Linked DNA regions of Bombyx mori. The protein of the gene in region 2 interacts with the protein of the main gene of each other region in a biochemical or structural test. Links are inferred from orthologs where the notes say so. Each region holds a gene or a part of one and is shown on either strand. Other genes may lie near its edges.

The links.
Region 1: the proteins of ubiquitin-conjugating enzyme E2M (region 2) and cullin-associated NEDD8-dissociated protein 1 form a complex in vitro, tested with the Homo sapiens proteins (2 studies listed by BioGRID). The link is inferred for Bombyx mori from reciprocal best matches to the Homo sapiens genes UBE2M and CAND1.

What each region holds. Positions count from the first base shown.
Region 1 is NC_085111.1:7,839,445-7,847,538, reverse strand, and holds the start of cullin-associated NEDD8-dissociated protein 1, read right to left. Parts: upstream 4,595-8,094; 5' UTR 4,366-4,594; coding exon 4,324-4,365; intron 4,239-4,323; coding exon 4,069-4,238; intron 3,588-4,068; coding exon 3,374-3,587; intron 3,280-3,373; coding exon 3,145-3,279; intron 2,384-3,144; coding exon 2,226-2,383; intron 2,104-2,225; coding exon 1,941-2,103; intron 1,495-1,940; coding exon 1,324-1,494; intron 141-1,323; coding exon 32-140; intron 1-31. Other genes in the region: probable ATP-dependent RNA helicase Dbp73D, read left to right, coding at 6,841-6,863, 7,222-7,525. UniProt on the Homo sapiens protein: Key assembly factor of SCF (SKP1-CUL1-F-box protein) E3 ubiquitin ligase complexes that promotes the exchange of the substrate-recognition F-box subunit in SCF complexes, thereby playing a key role in the cellular repertoire of SCF complexes.
Region 2 is NC_085121.1:6,066,969-6,075,143, reverse strand, and holds ubiquitin-conjugating enzyme E2M, read left to right. Parts: upstream 1-3,012; 5' UTR 3,013-3,303; coding exon 3,304-3,412; intron 3,413-3,593; coding exon 3,594-3,727; intron 3,728-5,783; coding exon 5,784-5,951; intron 5,952-6,836; coding exon 6,837-6,977; 3' UTR 6,978-7,326; downstream 7,327-8,175. Other genes in the region: uncharacterized protein LOC101745482, read right to left, coding at 1-46.

The DNA.
Region 1 (8,094 bases), on a different chromosome or scaffold from region 2:
GGTAAAAGATGTTATTAGATAGTATATTTACCTTTAAATCTAGCAATCAAAGCTGGCGAAACTGTATGGTACATCTCGGCTAAGAGCTCGTGACGCGTAGCTATCACAGATTCAAGACATTTAGCTGCAGCACGTCTCACCTGAAAAGATAAATCTTAATTTTTATTTCTTATCATGCATGAAACAATTAATGCCAGTCACGTACACCCATTTGTTGAAAGTACTATATGTCATTAAGTTATCATAAACAAAAAGAACAAAATCCTCAACTTTTACTCCTAAACTAATGATTAAAACTATTTTTACTATTTAATCTCGTCTGTAGCCACAAAAACTGTAAGGTATTCGAAACGACGGAAATTTTATAATGATAATAAGAAAAGTGATATTAAACCGTTAATGAAGTTTTAATTACATATATAAGTCGTCGTGGCCTAAAGGATAAGACGTCCGGTGCATTCGTATATAGCGATGCACCGGTGTTCGAATCCCGCAGGCGGGTACCAATTTTTCTAATGAAATACGTACTTAACAATTGTTCACGATTGACTTCCACGGTGAAGGAATAACATCGTGTAATAAAAATCAAACCCGCAAAATTATAATTTGCGTTATTACTGGTAGTAGGACCTCTTGTGAGTTCGCACGGGTAGGTACCACCGCCCCGCCTATTTCTGCCGTGAAGCAGTAATGCGTTTCGGTTTGAAGGGTGGGGCAGCCGTTGTAACTATACTGAGACCTTAGAATTTATATCTCATCGTATGTGGCGCATTTACGTTGTAGATGTCTATGGGTTCCAGTAACCACTTAACACCAGGTGGGCTGTGAGCTTGTCCACAAATCTAGGCAATAAAAAAAAATTAAAAAAATTTTTGCAACTCGCGAAAAAGGAAGAAAACACCACTCACACTCATAATATGAGGTTCAATCACTTGAAACAATATCAAAAATAGTAAGCAAATGTCGAAGTTACTATTTATATATACGCCTCAAATAAGATAGTCATGACAAGGCCAAAATAAAAAAAAACTAAATTAAACTAATAAACCAGATGATGAATACAATAAATCGGATATTTTTTTTATTATTTGATTGTATGCTATTCTGTTGTGAAAATTTGAATAGTCGCCGCTGGAGAATCCCTTATCCTCAGACCTTCGGACATTTTGTATATTTGCAAAAAGCATCTGTTTCTCATATTGTTCTATGAATTGTGACATGCTAGGCCCACTTTTAATTTTGAAACGTCCCTCATCATGATGGACACATTAGTATACACTGTTAAAATAAAGTAGTTATAATTGCATTATTTCTATTACATACTTTCCAGGACATGTCATCATCATCCGAATACTCTTCTGAGTCAGATTCAGGATCCGCATCAGGTGAGTATGTGTCATCTTCCATTTCTTCGTCATCATCACACACTCCCTCTTCATCCTCATAGTTGTAATTTGGATCATATGTTATCATCTTCAGGCATAGATCAATTATCTTAAACAAAATAGTTATCAGTTTAGATCTTGAAGTTTTTTCTTTATCTTTGTATGCTTTGCTTTTATCTAACATGCATCTAGAACTACTTTGAATAGATAGAATTAAATTACAACAACAATTTTGCATTATTAACCATCAACCTACACTAACAGAGGCGCATTGAGAAAAAAACCTACAACAACGTAAAAATTTTAAAGGTTTTCAAAGGTTTTTCTAAATTTGTTACAGTAACGAAAGAATAATACATTATGATTCGAAGGCTGGGACAACTATTATCCCATGCAATTAAGACTTAAACCTCTTGTCTCAAAGCTTCATTCTTGTATGAATGTACATGTACATGATGTAAATGAGCTCCAATAACTGACAACACAAGGTTGACCCCTGAGCTTGTTCATCTATATAGGCAATGAAAATAAAAAAATCCAATTATGTCTATTTACCGTAGGTATATGTGGTTGGACTTCTTTAGGACACTTGAGGACAAATGCTTCAAGAGCCTGCAAGCAATGTTCCCGTAATTCTTCATCTGTATCTTTTGAATATTCCAAAACTGATGGTGCCACACGCCACAATTGTTCACCAAATCGGTGTCCAGCTTGACGACTAAAATAAACAAATTTCAAGAGAATTTAGTCTAATTAATATAATTTTTCTTGCCTAGATCCTACACATGCTGCAAAATTAAAATATGAATGAACAAAAATGTCAATTAACTCACAACATACCATATAGAAGCAATGCACTGTATGTGTGTTCGGCTGACACTTGATGAAGTTGAAGAGCTCAGACCCTCCAGTAGATGGTCTATTAACTTGTTATAAAGCGAAGCATTGCAAGACATGACCAAATGTGACAACGCAACTATGGTGCGCTTGCGAACAGCCTGGAATTTTTTAATATTATATTACGTAAATTTTGGATCAACGTACACCTTCATACTTTGCTATATATATATATATTTCATAATTTTTTTGTAATGGACTATATCGTTAGGTGATAGCTCACCACCTACCTAATTCTATGTCATTACCAGAGTTTGAAAGATATTAGGATATGAATGCAGCCATCCACTAAAAGACATAAGTTCAATGTTTGAATTTATACTGTGCCTAAATTGTCCCACAGCTCAAACTGGTATATTTGAGATATCTGCTAACAATACACATAGTGAAAGCACCTAACCCATAACAGCTACAAATTACCTGTTAAGATAGTTAAGATAGTTAATTACTTTTCTTTGCAAATAAATTTATGGTTGCCTTAATTCTTCATTTTTGGTAATAGTTGACCACAGCTCACAAGACAAAAAACCTTTATAATTTGATTAAATAAAATTTTAACTTGCTATTGCATTATATAATTAATATCAGCATGGAACATTTAATTTTAATATTTATTACATTACATATTTTCATTATTATTTTATATGTTGATAGTAAACAATAAAGTGTTCCCGAAATGTATGACCAACCACCAAGAAACATAATAATCAAGAGTCCAAATGGGACAATGAAGGTAGCAACAGCTGCTCCTGTAGGCTCCTTTAACTTTGAAATATCGGGACAACCAAAAGTTAGCCTACAAACTTTGGATACATAATAATATATAATTGGATCACAGGTGTTTTCATTGCTACTTGTATACCTGACGGGGAGATGCAAGCTGCGGCAACAGTGAATTGAGCAGCATAGGATGAAATGATATCAATAAACCACCAAATCTGCTCAATAAATCAGCAAGAATATCAAGTGCTTCAAGTTGAACTGAAACATCTTCTTGCTGAAAAAATTAAGAAGAATAATGACATGTTTATTTTTTGAAGAGAGCAATAAATTGAACAATCCAGTGAAATATCTAAACATCTATACTGTACCTTTTCTATAGCACTACTCAATTTACCAGTTATTTTCTTACAAACATTAGCAGCAAGAGTATTGGAACCCAGTGGGAGTTCAGAAATTACAGTCTTTAATCCAATGCTGCTGATGTCCCTTAGCTGCTCAGTATCCGAAAGCATATTGGCACAAAGTGTATCAACTATACCTTCCACCTGATACTCCTTTACTTTGTTTACAAGAGGACCGAGGCTGAAAGTGAATTATTGTCAAGGGTACTGGTTTGTTAATATCAGTATACAGTATTATAAAATTATGACTTTAACAATATTATCATCAGTAAAGTCTATATTTTGGTGTGTGCTTCTTTCTTGCAGCAATAGAGCAAAAGATTAACATATATTTTTTTTAGTATGAGAAAGTTGAAATACCTAAGTGAATTTGGTTTAAATTGAGAAAAAGTTATGTAATTTTACAAATTTAACACTGATAAAAGTACAGAACAACTGAGACTATTAGACTTGACTTTGTAAAGGAAACTTATCTAATTTCATAAAACTATGACAAAAATCTGCGACAGCGAATATTGAAATTTTATCTTCTACCATACTTTTTCATAAGTAGTTTGAATAGAACTTAAAAAATTGGGAGTTAAATCACATGCAGGATTGAATCACATGCAGGATTGATACTCAGATTTATTGTGCTTGGAATTATGAAATATCAAACGAACCATTTCACAGCTAAATTCTGAACTTCACCATTCTTGTCTTCGAGTAATCGTAGAAGCATTTTTACTACTTTTCTTTCAGAATCATCGTCGAGCTTGATACTGTCTTTTTGCAACTCTGTCATCAAATCATTAGTAGCCATAAACCTGAAGTCTTTATCATTGGATGTCATCTACGAAATAAATAGAAAATCCTCAATAAATGCGAGCTTATTAGATACGAAAACATTGAACTAGTTAACAAATTAACCGGCTTACCTTCTCAAGAAGATGTGCTATATGGTAAGACACATTAGCCATTGTGCAAATCCTATCAGTGTCTCTTCCAAAAATAATTTTAAAATATTAAGACCTAACGAGAGCTAATTAGTTGAAAACAGTTTAATCAACATTAATTCACACGAGAAAAAATTTGCAAAAAACTAGGTAAAACTAAAACCTCATTTAAGTGACCATAGATTTTTTGTCAATTTTTTATTTTGCATTTTTAGGTACACAGACCTCTATTGAACAGTACTCACTGTAGATAATTACAAGCCAAAGGCATCGAGACCATTATAGGCCAACAGCATTGTGTTCAGGGCCGTAAAATAGTCATGTTTTTTTTTTCAAATTTATCGTCTAAACAGTCGTTTCTTTCAAAACCATATTATGAGTAGGTAATGTAAATTTTTAATCAGCAAATTAGTAAACTAACAATATTCGGTTACAAAAAAACCTTTTTTACTAACATAATTATTTTTTTTATAAATTAAAAGGCTTATGGCGTCTTACAGAGTCTTACTCATATACAGGGTGTCCCAGAAAGAATGGATAATCCTGAAACACCTCATAGTAGAGCCATTGAGGACACAAAAAAAAATAAAAATAAAAAAAACTCAGGTAGTACCCAAATTATGTATTTTAAAAAAAAGTTGATATTTTCCATACTGCTGTGCGTTTCTGGAATATATAACAGCTACAAATAAATGAAATCCATAAGCTTTTTGGTGTTATAATATTTTATATGGACTATACTAAGGAATATGTAGAAAATCGCATGAGTAGCCAGTGTAATTTTTTATAAAAGTTAATCTGAACTTCAATTTTAATAATGAAATTTGGTATTTTTATTTTATTTTTAATTTGGGTGCTACCTAAGATTTTATTTTTTATTTTTTATTTTGTGTCCCCAATAGCTCTACTATGAGGTGTTTCAGTATTATCAATTCTTTCTGAGATACCCTGTATATTGAGCGCCAAGTATGAAAATAATTTATCATTATTTTCTGCTTTTATTACTATAACTTCAAATATGCAGATTGCAGAGGTAAGTTGTTGTTAATTGGAAATAATATAATTAGGATTTTTATAAATACAATTATTGATGAATGAGTTTTTTTTTACTATACAAAATTATCCTATTACATTTGTTGTGAATTACAAAAAAAAAGGTGCGCGTGCAACTTGAGGCACGTGACACGTGAAAGAAGTGTAACTAAATTTGCAGTGTGTAGTATTACGGTTTTCTTCATTTTTCAAACTTAAATCAATTTTTTCTTGCAATAGGGAATACTATGTATTAGAGAAACGATCTCTTCTCCATTTATATATATTTTAAATTATATATAGAAAAATATATTTTTTTAATCCATAGTTAAAAATAAAATTTAAGATAGATAATATGTTACTGCCATCTACAGGAGCAATGAGAAACTAATAACAAGCAATCTAGTGGCCAACGCCCGTAAACAGAATGTGTATAAAAAAATCAATCTAGCTCGCTTTCTCGCTCTCTTCAAGGTCGTGTGGTTCGCGAGACGCTCTGTATATTTTCTCCCTCTCGCTGGTCCTAAATTGTATCTGTTCTCTCTAGTCGTTACGAATCTATCGTGAGTTAAATTTTACTCTCAATGCACTTATAGTAGTTTCACTTCAATAAAACCAGTAAAATTATAATTTGCATAACTACTAGTGGTAGGACGTCTTGTGAGTCTGCACGAGTGGGTACCACCACCCTGCTTATTTTTAATTAATATATGTATTATATTATATATAATATTATAATTAAATAATATTTATAATTAAGGATTTAAAAAAAAAAAAATTCTATATATATCATTTAAAATATCTATAAATGGTGAAGTGGTCGTTTATCTTATACACAGCATTCGCTATTACAAGAGAAATTTGATTTGATTTTCAATAATGGAGAAAACCACAATACTACACATGACAAAAGAAGTTACACTTTTTTCGCGTGCCTCAAGTTGCAAGCTCACCTTTTTTTTTTATTACACGATTTTATTCCTTCACCATGAAAATCAATCGGAAACATTTGTTAAGTACCTATTTCATTAGAAAAAAAGGTACCCGCCTCCGGCATTCAAATACCGTTGCATCGCTTAATACGAATGCACTGAGCATCTTATACTTTAGTCTACGCGAGTTCTAAACTACACCTGATATAATAGATTTTTCAAATGAGTCTTTTGATTCTGAGTACCTAGATTGCCCACTTCATCTCATTTATTTTCCATTTCATAGGAACACATGGGCCATATTCCCTGTGCCTCTTAAGTAGATGAAATCAACTGAACTATGTACTTCTATGAGGTTATAAGAGGTTATATTTTTGAAAACAATGAAGTTTTTACATGTGTAACCCTTATATTTTTAAATTAATGAATTACTTATCCAATTTTTGAAAGAATATCTCAATAAACCGTAACAAGAGATCTCATCATAGTTGTTCTGAGGTTGCGTAGCTTTAGTCTTTAATTTCAGATCGCCACCATGGATTTATTTATTATTAACAGGTTTGAACCAAGTTATCATTATCATTTAAAAAATTTAGCAATGAAAACTAACTATTAACATACCAACAGATAGGTACACGTATATATTTAGATTCCGAAATTTTAGGATACAATTGTGGTTGATAATAAAACAAACTTCGGATGTTTAAACTGACCTTTTTTTACATGAGTACACAACTAAGTACTTGTTCCTAGGCAACAACTATTCTTTTTAATAAACCTATGATAGTTACATATAGTTAGAAGGCCAGTTCTTACAACAATAGCCCACACTCTTAACATTCAATTCAAATTGATATTTTTTATATTTAGAACATAATAATAAAGGTTTCAAGATTTAGGTAAGTTTATATTCCAGATATAATGACACAAATGATGATACACATATAATAGAACAAGAAGCAAAACGCCTAGAACAATTGAAGCAAAGAATTGAAGAACGTAGAAAAGCATTTTCAGTAAAAAAATCGTCTGATGTCATTACTTTGAAAGAAGAAAAACAAACTGAAATTTTACCTGACCTTCCCGTTTCTACTAATGATGATTTGCCAACGGAAATACCAAAACCAAATACACCTCCAAAACCAAAAGAAAAAATTTATGCTGAAAAACAAAAAGAATTTAAAGTTCTTGGATCAAGTGACTTTCAAAAAAAATCTAAGGTGAGTCTGTGAATAAAATTCACATGGAAATTAACTTTAATAAAAAGCTTGAAAAGTTTGTATATTCTCAAAGTAAAGTTTGAAAACCTTAATAAAGAAAATGGTTGTGTTTATCAAAAAATTACACTTAGTGAAATATAACTCCAATATAAACTACAGGGTGTAGTGAAAATACATTTATAAAATGCGTATGAATAGTAAAACAAGATATTAAAAGTTGTGACAGTCTGAGTGATCAGAATACAATCAATTTTATCCAGTTTCTGTTTGAAGATTGCTAGTTGTTTATTCATATTATTATTAGTTTAGATTAGTGTATGAGCTCATGGCCACATTGTGCTAAATTGCTACCAGAGCCGATAGACACCAAAACACAAAATTCTTCATGCCCTTACGCCATGAGTTCAAAGTCTCAATTTTATTGGAAAGGATTTTCTGTCATCCAATCTGTACTTACTTAAATAGTGAGCAAATTCCAGGCCTATTTTATGACCAAAGTATTGGGTGAATTAAAATTAATAATCCAATTTAAAATAAAATCAAAAATTCTAAAATATCCCCTTTATGGG
Region 2 (8,175 bases):
TATCATCATCTGAAGAACCTAATTCTATCACATCTTCGCTTGCCATGTTGCATCAATGTTAATCGGGAATGTTAATATTTTTGTAATCGATTATAAACCTTGTAGGTTACAAACTTGGAATATTTTGCTTCATTACTCTAGCGAAATACGTTCATTTTTTCATAAAACAGGAAGGAAAGTTATATCAACAAATAAATAGGTGCATCAACGAAAGCCTACAATCGCGTAAAGTGTATAATCTATGATCGCGGCAAAGTGCGTAGGTACATAGATGGGCCCAATCGGAATCGATCTTTTGGAAAATCGATCTTTAATTTTAATCGCCTTACATCCACATCGGCTCACATTTTTATTACCTAAATGGGATTTAAAAAATGAGTAGTTTTAGATCTAAATTGACAAAACCATTGTAATTCTTGGGTTTTCCAGAGTCATACATGGAATTTATTACTGGTGGTAGGACCTCTTGTGAGCCCGCGCGGGTAGGTACCACCGCCCTGCCTATTTCTGCCGTGATGCAGTGATGCGTTTCGGTTTGAAGGGTGGGGCAGCCGTTGTAACTATACTTGAGACCTTAGAGCTTATATCTCAAGGTGGGTGGCGCATTTACATTGTGGATGTCTATGGGCTCCAGTAACCACTTAACACCAGGTGGGCTGTGAGCTCAACCACCCATCGAAGAAATAAAAATAAAACTACATTTACGACTATATATATATATATATATATATATATATATATATATATATTTAGTTAAATATTATTTAATAGTACACTAGTACACACATCGAGTGACTCGGGGTACCGTAGTCAGCGCCCCAACTACTGGGCTGAGAATTGTGAGTTCGGAATTCCATTTTGGAGAATCGTACGTGTACCTAAAATATTTTTTGTCTTTATTGGAACGAAGTTCCTTACGGCAGGCTTGGAGGGGATAGGGATATTGCTGCGCGACCGAACTGAAAAAAATGTGATAGTAAAACCGTAAGGAAAAATCCGTGGAAAAAAGTGCGTGGAATAAAACCGTTAAATGAGACGTGCGCAGGCGCGACAGTCGTATACACAAGCGAGTAGTGTATAATACCTTTCTCTTTCTCCCTCTTTCTTTTCGTTCTCTCATCCTTTCTCTCTCTATTTTGTAATTATTTCTATTTCTATGTAATTTTATGTTGTCAAACAAAACTAAAGAGACATATTTTGTTATTTTAATTGATAATTTTGATAATTTGAATTACGATTTTATTTTTATTTTACGTAATTTATTATTTCCTAAAATACTGAATTTCCTAAATACTTTCCTGTACTTAAATAAAAACTAATCAGCAAAATTTAAGAGAAAAATCAAGAAAACCAACATAAAAATGAGCACGATTTTTTTTTGCAAATTGTGTCGATTCTACGTTAGCCGAAGGAACTTCGTTCCTACCTGGTGTCCCACGACACCACTTTTTTTTTTCTTATTTTATGTTAAATGTATATACATTTATTTATTTGGAAAAAAGGAACAGTACAAAACACCCATAAAATACATTCAAAATAGATATACAAAAAGTAAACAAGTTTGCACTATTAACATTACAGGTAAGTAGAAAGTAAACAGAAAAATAACTTTAGGAAGACCTTAATAAATAAAAGTTTACAACAAGGTAACAAAATACAACAATTACAAAACTTTATACTAATTATTGCTACACGTCGGACATTACTAACCTTTCAAAAAATATTCCCAAATAGCATTATAAATGCAAACGTGTATATATTTAAATTTACGTAACTAAATCTCTATTTCCGATAGTAGAAGGTATCCTAGCTTGAGGGCAAATGACGTTTGTGATTTGTGTATAATTTTGATGAAATTTCGCAGAAAGTTAATAATATTTGGTGAAGTGGCAGACCGCGGTAAAATGCACTCGCTGTGAAACGGCGCGTCGCGTCGGCGCGAACGGAACTGAAGTGTTGTTTGTTGCGTTCGCTTCACCAAACATATAAGCATGCTCATGGGGCTCAATCTGGGAGACTTTGTAAACATCCTCTCTAGAGCAATGCTTCGCTGAATCTACCACCGGATCAAAATCACAACCCTCTGAGAAAATCCGTTGAGTAACTCAGTGGGCTCAAACTCTTTTTGCGCTCGCTGCATGACATAATACATGTGATCAGGGACGTCTTAAATTAGGCTGGGGCCCTTGGACACACAAGAATTTGAGGTCCTTTTGGAAAGTAAAAAAAGCGAATTATAATAACATTTTTTACTCAGTATGACCATTTATTATAGGTAATCAAATACGGTATGATATAATATGTCATTAATGATATTAGAATACTGCTGGTTTTTTGGTTACGATCACGATAACGGAAACCGAATAAATGTGTGAGAGAAATTGTCGGTCCTTAGGGGGCCCCTGAGAATGGGGTCCCTGGGAACGGGTCCCGTGTGCCCTTATGGTAAAGACGGTATTGCATGTGATGGTAATCTTTGAACAATGTCCTCTCAAGAAATTCGCGGTCAGTGTATCGCCCTCAAGATGTGCCGACAAAGGAGAGTCGTTAGCGGTGTTTGTTCAAACGGCTATGTTTAGTTGGTTGATGTACTGATAGTTTATATTTCGTTTCGTTTGTATTTCGCCGCACGCCCCCAGTAGTGATAGGCAGCTCGTTATCTAGGGATTCGCTGCCCTAATCACATCGTAATAATACTCATAGTAAATGACATGATCGAACAACACCCGGTATTTTTGCTATTTTAAATGAGACAGTGTATTTGCTGATTCATGATTTCGGATTGGTGATCTACAAATAAACTTAAAAAAACAAAATAGTTAATGGAGCGGAGAGTGATACAACCATAGAGTTAGTATACTTATTAACTCCATGGATACAACTGACACAAGTAACTTTTTTTCGGATAAGCTATTAATCTAGTTTTTTCTATGCTATAAAATATACTAGTACCTACTATTTTTTTACTGATCTGTGGATGTTTGTGCGTTCGTCCACAGATTAATAATGTGTGGGTCCGCCAGAGAATTGAACTAAATTGAACTAAAAATTGAAATAATTGAACGGTAGAAATTGTCAAGAAGAATGTGTTTGTTGAAGCTTGACTTATACCTAATTGGCTAAAACAAAAAGTCAAAGAGAAAGTATATTATTTAGCCAATCATAAGTCTAGGTTTGGCTCTTCATTTAACAAAATTTCACCGAACACTGATCTGTGATACAAAAACTCAAAAAAGTCAAGCTGTCAAAATAGATCTTGGAATTTAATAAATTATTAATCTATTTAATTGATTAGTTAGGAAAATGATTAAACTTTTTTCATTAAAACAACAGAAAAAAGATGAAGAGGGTTCTACCAGAGGAGGAGGATCACAAAAAAAAGCATCAGCAGCCCAATTACGAATTACAAAAGGTTCTAGGCGATATTTTCAGTGTTTACTAGATTTTTCATGTTTAATTAAGCATTACCAATGAATTTCCTGTATTTTATGGCAGAAATATATTGGCAACAAATAAGATTTCATTAAAATTAACTTGTTATTTTATAAGATTTTATAAGCTTCATTTCATGACCAATATTAATGTATCCACAGATTTGAATGAATTGAATCTACCGAAAACATGCAACACAGAATTCCCTGATCCGGATGACCTATTGAATTTTAAATTGATTATATGCCCAGATGAAGGATTTTATAGAGGAGGAAAATTTGTATTTAGCTTTAAGGTGAGCTTTTGTTCATTATTCATTAACATCATAATTAACCTTAAGATAACTTTCGATGTGTTCACCAGTAGATCACATTCATTATCTCAGAGCTTAATCACTTCATATGGCAATATTGTTGGGTACAGGAAAAAAATTACGAATGGTCTTTGTATGCAAAACTTGGAACTATAAGAACTGATTCAAAATCTGTATTTTTTACAAACTAAAATCATATGGCTTGGAATAGTTGGCTAGTTTTTGTAAAAAAACATCATTACATGATTGTATTTTAAAAATTTACTGGTCTGAATAAAAATTTAATCTGTTGATTCTGACTTGGTATTAGGTGGTCAAAGTTAGTGTACAACTGGGTAAGCCCTGTGATCATGTCTATATCTCTTCTATAATACTTTTACTATATTCTGGTTTTAAGCATTGAACATCTGATGCCGAAGTCCTCGTCGACATGATGGGTCTGTGTTGGATGGCTGGATGGCCTCACCGCTGTTGACTGGTCAGTAGGGATGCTTATAGTGGAGATCCCATCGGAACCTGCCTGTGTCTGTGATTACCATCCACAAATTTAACATTAGAGTGAAGCCTGATGGTCATACATGGGGTAGACTGCGATAGACTATGATTTTTTTTGTGGTTATTGATCTCTCTCTCTTTCTCTCTCTCTCACACACTCATGCACTAATGTTGGTACACCACATTCTACCTTGTTCCTATTAATATAGGTAGATGAGGTGTGAATCTTTAAGAGCATCTAAAAAAACAGAAAATTTTGAAGTAATACTGATGATCATCGCTGATGATGATAACTGCCACAGCTGTTTTTATTTTTATTTCATAGGATCATATGATTAACCAGTTGCGCATATTAAGTATTTAACTGAGCCCCACACCCTACAATGTGAACGTCACAAGTCATCATAGAAGTGTGCAGACAAAAGAGGACAAAGTTTCATTAATTGATAAAGTGTAGTAATAAAACATAATAACAATACAACATAACAAAAAAAATTAAAAGGTTTCACATGTTTGTACAATTCTTTTATGACATTGATCAGTCTATAGCAAAAACTTTCTCCTGTGTTATTTCGCCTATAACATCTTGAAGACAATAACACCCAGATCCTGAAAACCAAATATATTTTATCGACTCTAGGGGATAGTAGTCGCTAGCAACCTGACCAATGAGGCAGAACTTAGGTAATGATTCTTCAGTCAATTCATTTTTACTCAGAACAATTTATCAAAGGATGTTTTCAAATAATACTAACCAGCTGGAGCTCAGTAGCTAATACTTCTTTTACTATTGGTTAAATTAACTGTCCCTCAATTGAATATGTACGTTTATAGTAATAAATATTTAATATTATACAAAGTCCACAGTCTTTTTGCTGAGAAGCTGCTGAAAAAAAGCTTTGACTTTGAAGTTGGCTGAACTTCTTTGTTGTGTCTTGAAAAAATTGCAGACAAAATAATAAAAACATTTCGATTATTGAGTTCAGAAGCGAGATAGTTGGGGTCTTGATTGTAACTTTGCAATAACTCCTAATTTTGGATTTTTTTAACATCTTGTACTTGATCAAACTCAGTGATCGGTCCGTGCGGTTCTAAATAGGAGACAGTTTGAGTATAGTTATTAATACAATCTCAGACCACAGGCTATGATATAATAAACTAAAAACGGACCCCAGGCGAACCTTGAGGTTTGTCGAGGACTTCAAGGTGATCCCTCCCTCTATATTCTCCTTCTTTAAGCCTAATCTTTATAGATTACAAACTTATGTTATGTTACACATGGGTAGGTACCACTATCCTGTCCATTTATGCCGTGAAGCTGTCATGCGTTTCGGTTCGAAGGGTTGGACGACCGTGAGAGGAGAGTTAAGTCAGCGGCTCGTCTCAAGTGACTAGCAGCATTTACGCTATGTTATCTCCGATAAATATTACGTAGATAATACCATATCGGCCGTAAGCTGAAGTATTCTAGAAATGCTAAAACACTTTAGTAGATAGTAAGTAACTTGTATCTTTCTAACAAATATTTTTAACCAATTTTCAGGTAGGACCAAATTATCCTCACGAGCCGCCCAAAGTCAAATGTGAAACAGCAGTTTATCATCCTAACATAGACCTCGAAGGCAACGTGTGCCTGAATATACTCAGGGAAGATTGGAAACCTGTTCTCACAGTTAACTCCATAGTGTACGGTCTCCAGTATTTATTCTTGGTAAGCCCACTAAATTGATATAAAGACATAGCAATTAAGAACTTCTCATCAAACAGTTTTCTTTTTTTGGTTTTTCTTTTCCAGAAATTGACAAGTTTTGGTGTAATTATGATTATTTTCGTTTTTTTTTTTATTTCAACCTTTCAAATACTTCAATTTTCGTATTCACCGACAACTGTGAGTCTTTAAAGTATTTTTAATTATGTGTAGGACTCACGAAAACCAACGAAATAACTGCTGGTTATGGTTTGATGAAAAAGTTTATGTTTGAAGTAATATTAAATTTAGAAAAATGTATTAATCTCAAGAATGTTTCGGAATCTGAAGAAATTTACTGTACAAAATGCTCTTTTATCAAACTTAGGGCTGCCGATAAAAATCATAACTATAAAAATATTCGTATATTAGCAGTACTCGTAAAGATAAATATAATGAGATTAGATGGGAAAGTCGCTATTCGTCCGTCATCACACGTATTGCATTTTTATCTATTTTGGTGTACAATAACGCATACTCTCTCTTTCATTCACGGTATTGTATTTTATTTTTATCCAGTTTACGTGTACTTGTATAGTCTTGTATAATTGTATCCTATAACTCTCTGTGGAGAGAGTTCTTTGACGAATTGAGAAAATTTCATCATTTTCATTTTATCTTCGCACGAACTGTCAGCAAAGCTTATCTATACTCGCGCCACCCACCTCGAGATATACGTTCTAAGGTCTCAAGTAATAGTTCAACGGCTGCCCCACCCTTCAAACCGAAACGCATTACTGCTTCACGGCCGAAATAGGCAGGGCGGTGGTACCCACCCCCGCGCAGACTCACAAGAGGTCCTACCACCAGTAAAAAACATGTATTGGAATTGTTTTTTTTTTTTTTTAGGAACCAAACCCTGAAGATCCCCTCAACAAGGAAGCAGCTGACGAGCTCCAAAGCAACAGGCGACTTTTCGAACAACACGTTCAGAGAGCTATGCGAGGCGGCTACGTCGGCACATCTTATTTCGAACGATGCCTCAAATGAAAACCTGCACACGTGTAAAAAATGCTAACAACCATATAAATAATAATAAAATCTCATTTTAATGTTTTTCTATTGTTTCGTTTTTATTTATTTAATATTGTTTTTAAAAAAAGCCATCTCTAATGCCATGCCCAACAAGATATCTAAAGTACAATTATTATATTGAGAAATCGTTTAATTCACTTGAATTTCTCTTATAATAATTTCATAACAAAATATACGAGTCGTATCGATCGATCCTATATTTTTCGAGTTGATATCAAATTCAAACACAGTTATGTCTTCATAGTTAAACTTAAAAAAATGTCGCTAGTGGCGCTTAGGTCATTGTAAATAAAGAACTGCATTCAACAATTCTTTCATTTGAATACCTAAGTATATTTGTGATGTTGACTAATCCTTATCGGATGGGTAACTAGTAACTATAAATGTACTTTTCTAGTTATATACCAAACTATTACTCTGCTAGTTGGTGGATGAGATAGCATACACAATACATGAGTAAATGCATGTAGTATGCTGTAAGTATCTAACAAACCACTAAATACTTACTAAATAGTGAAGAATTCGATAAAAAGAGAAGGAAGGATTTAATTGATATGATTGAATTGATTTAGTGACACAAACGAATGTTTTAAAACCAATCCTAGTAGGTGGCACCGATGACGTCTGATCTGGCATCTATGCTAGTAAAAATACATTTGAGAATGCGGCTACCTACCCGAATTTTTAAGTCTACAAATAGCGTTCGTAAAATCAAACAAAAGCTTAAAATTTTGCACTGAAATATTTATTCCTTTTTTTTTAAATGGAATTACCGTCTGATAGCAGCGGGTAGGAAAAAACTTTAAAACCATTTTTGAATATCCAATTCGTAATTTAAATTTTAATACGCTTATCTCCTATTGAATTATGACAAAGTAAAGAAGTGTGAAAAAATCCATGTAGTAAAAAATGTTAAAATATCATAATTAAACCAAGCAATAACAAATAAAAACTTTTTATGTAAATTCGGCGCTCCCTAATTCAAAAATAGTAATAATAAAGCACATATGGCGCTGCACATTCTAATGTTTTTGTTAGGATGCTGTAATATATGTAGATAAACAAAATTAATGTATGTTCTTGAGATTTGAAACGGTTTTTTGATTTATATTAAAGGTGATTAACATTAAGTAAAATGAATTCAAGGATCGTC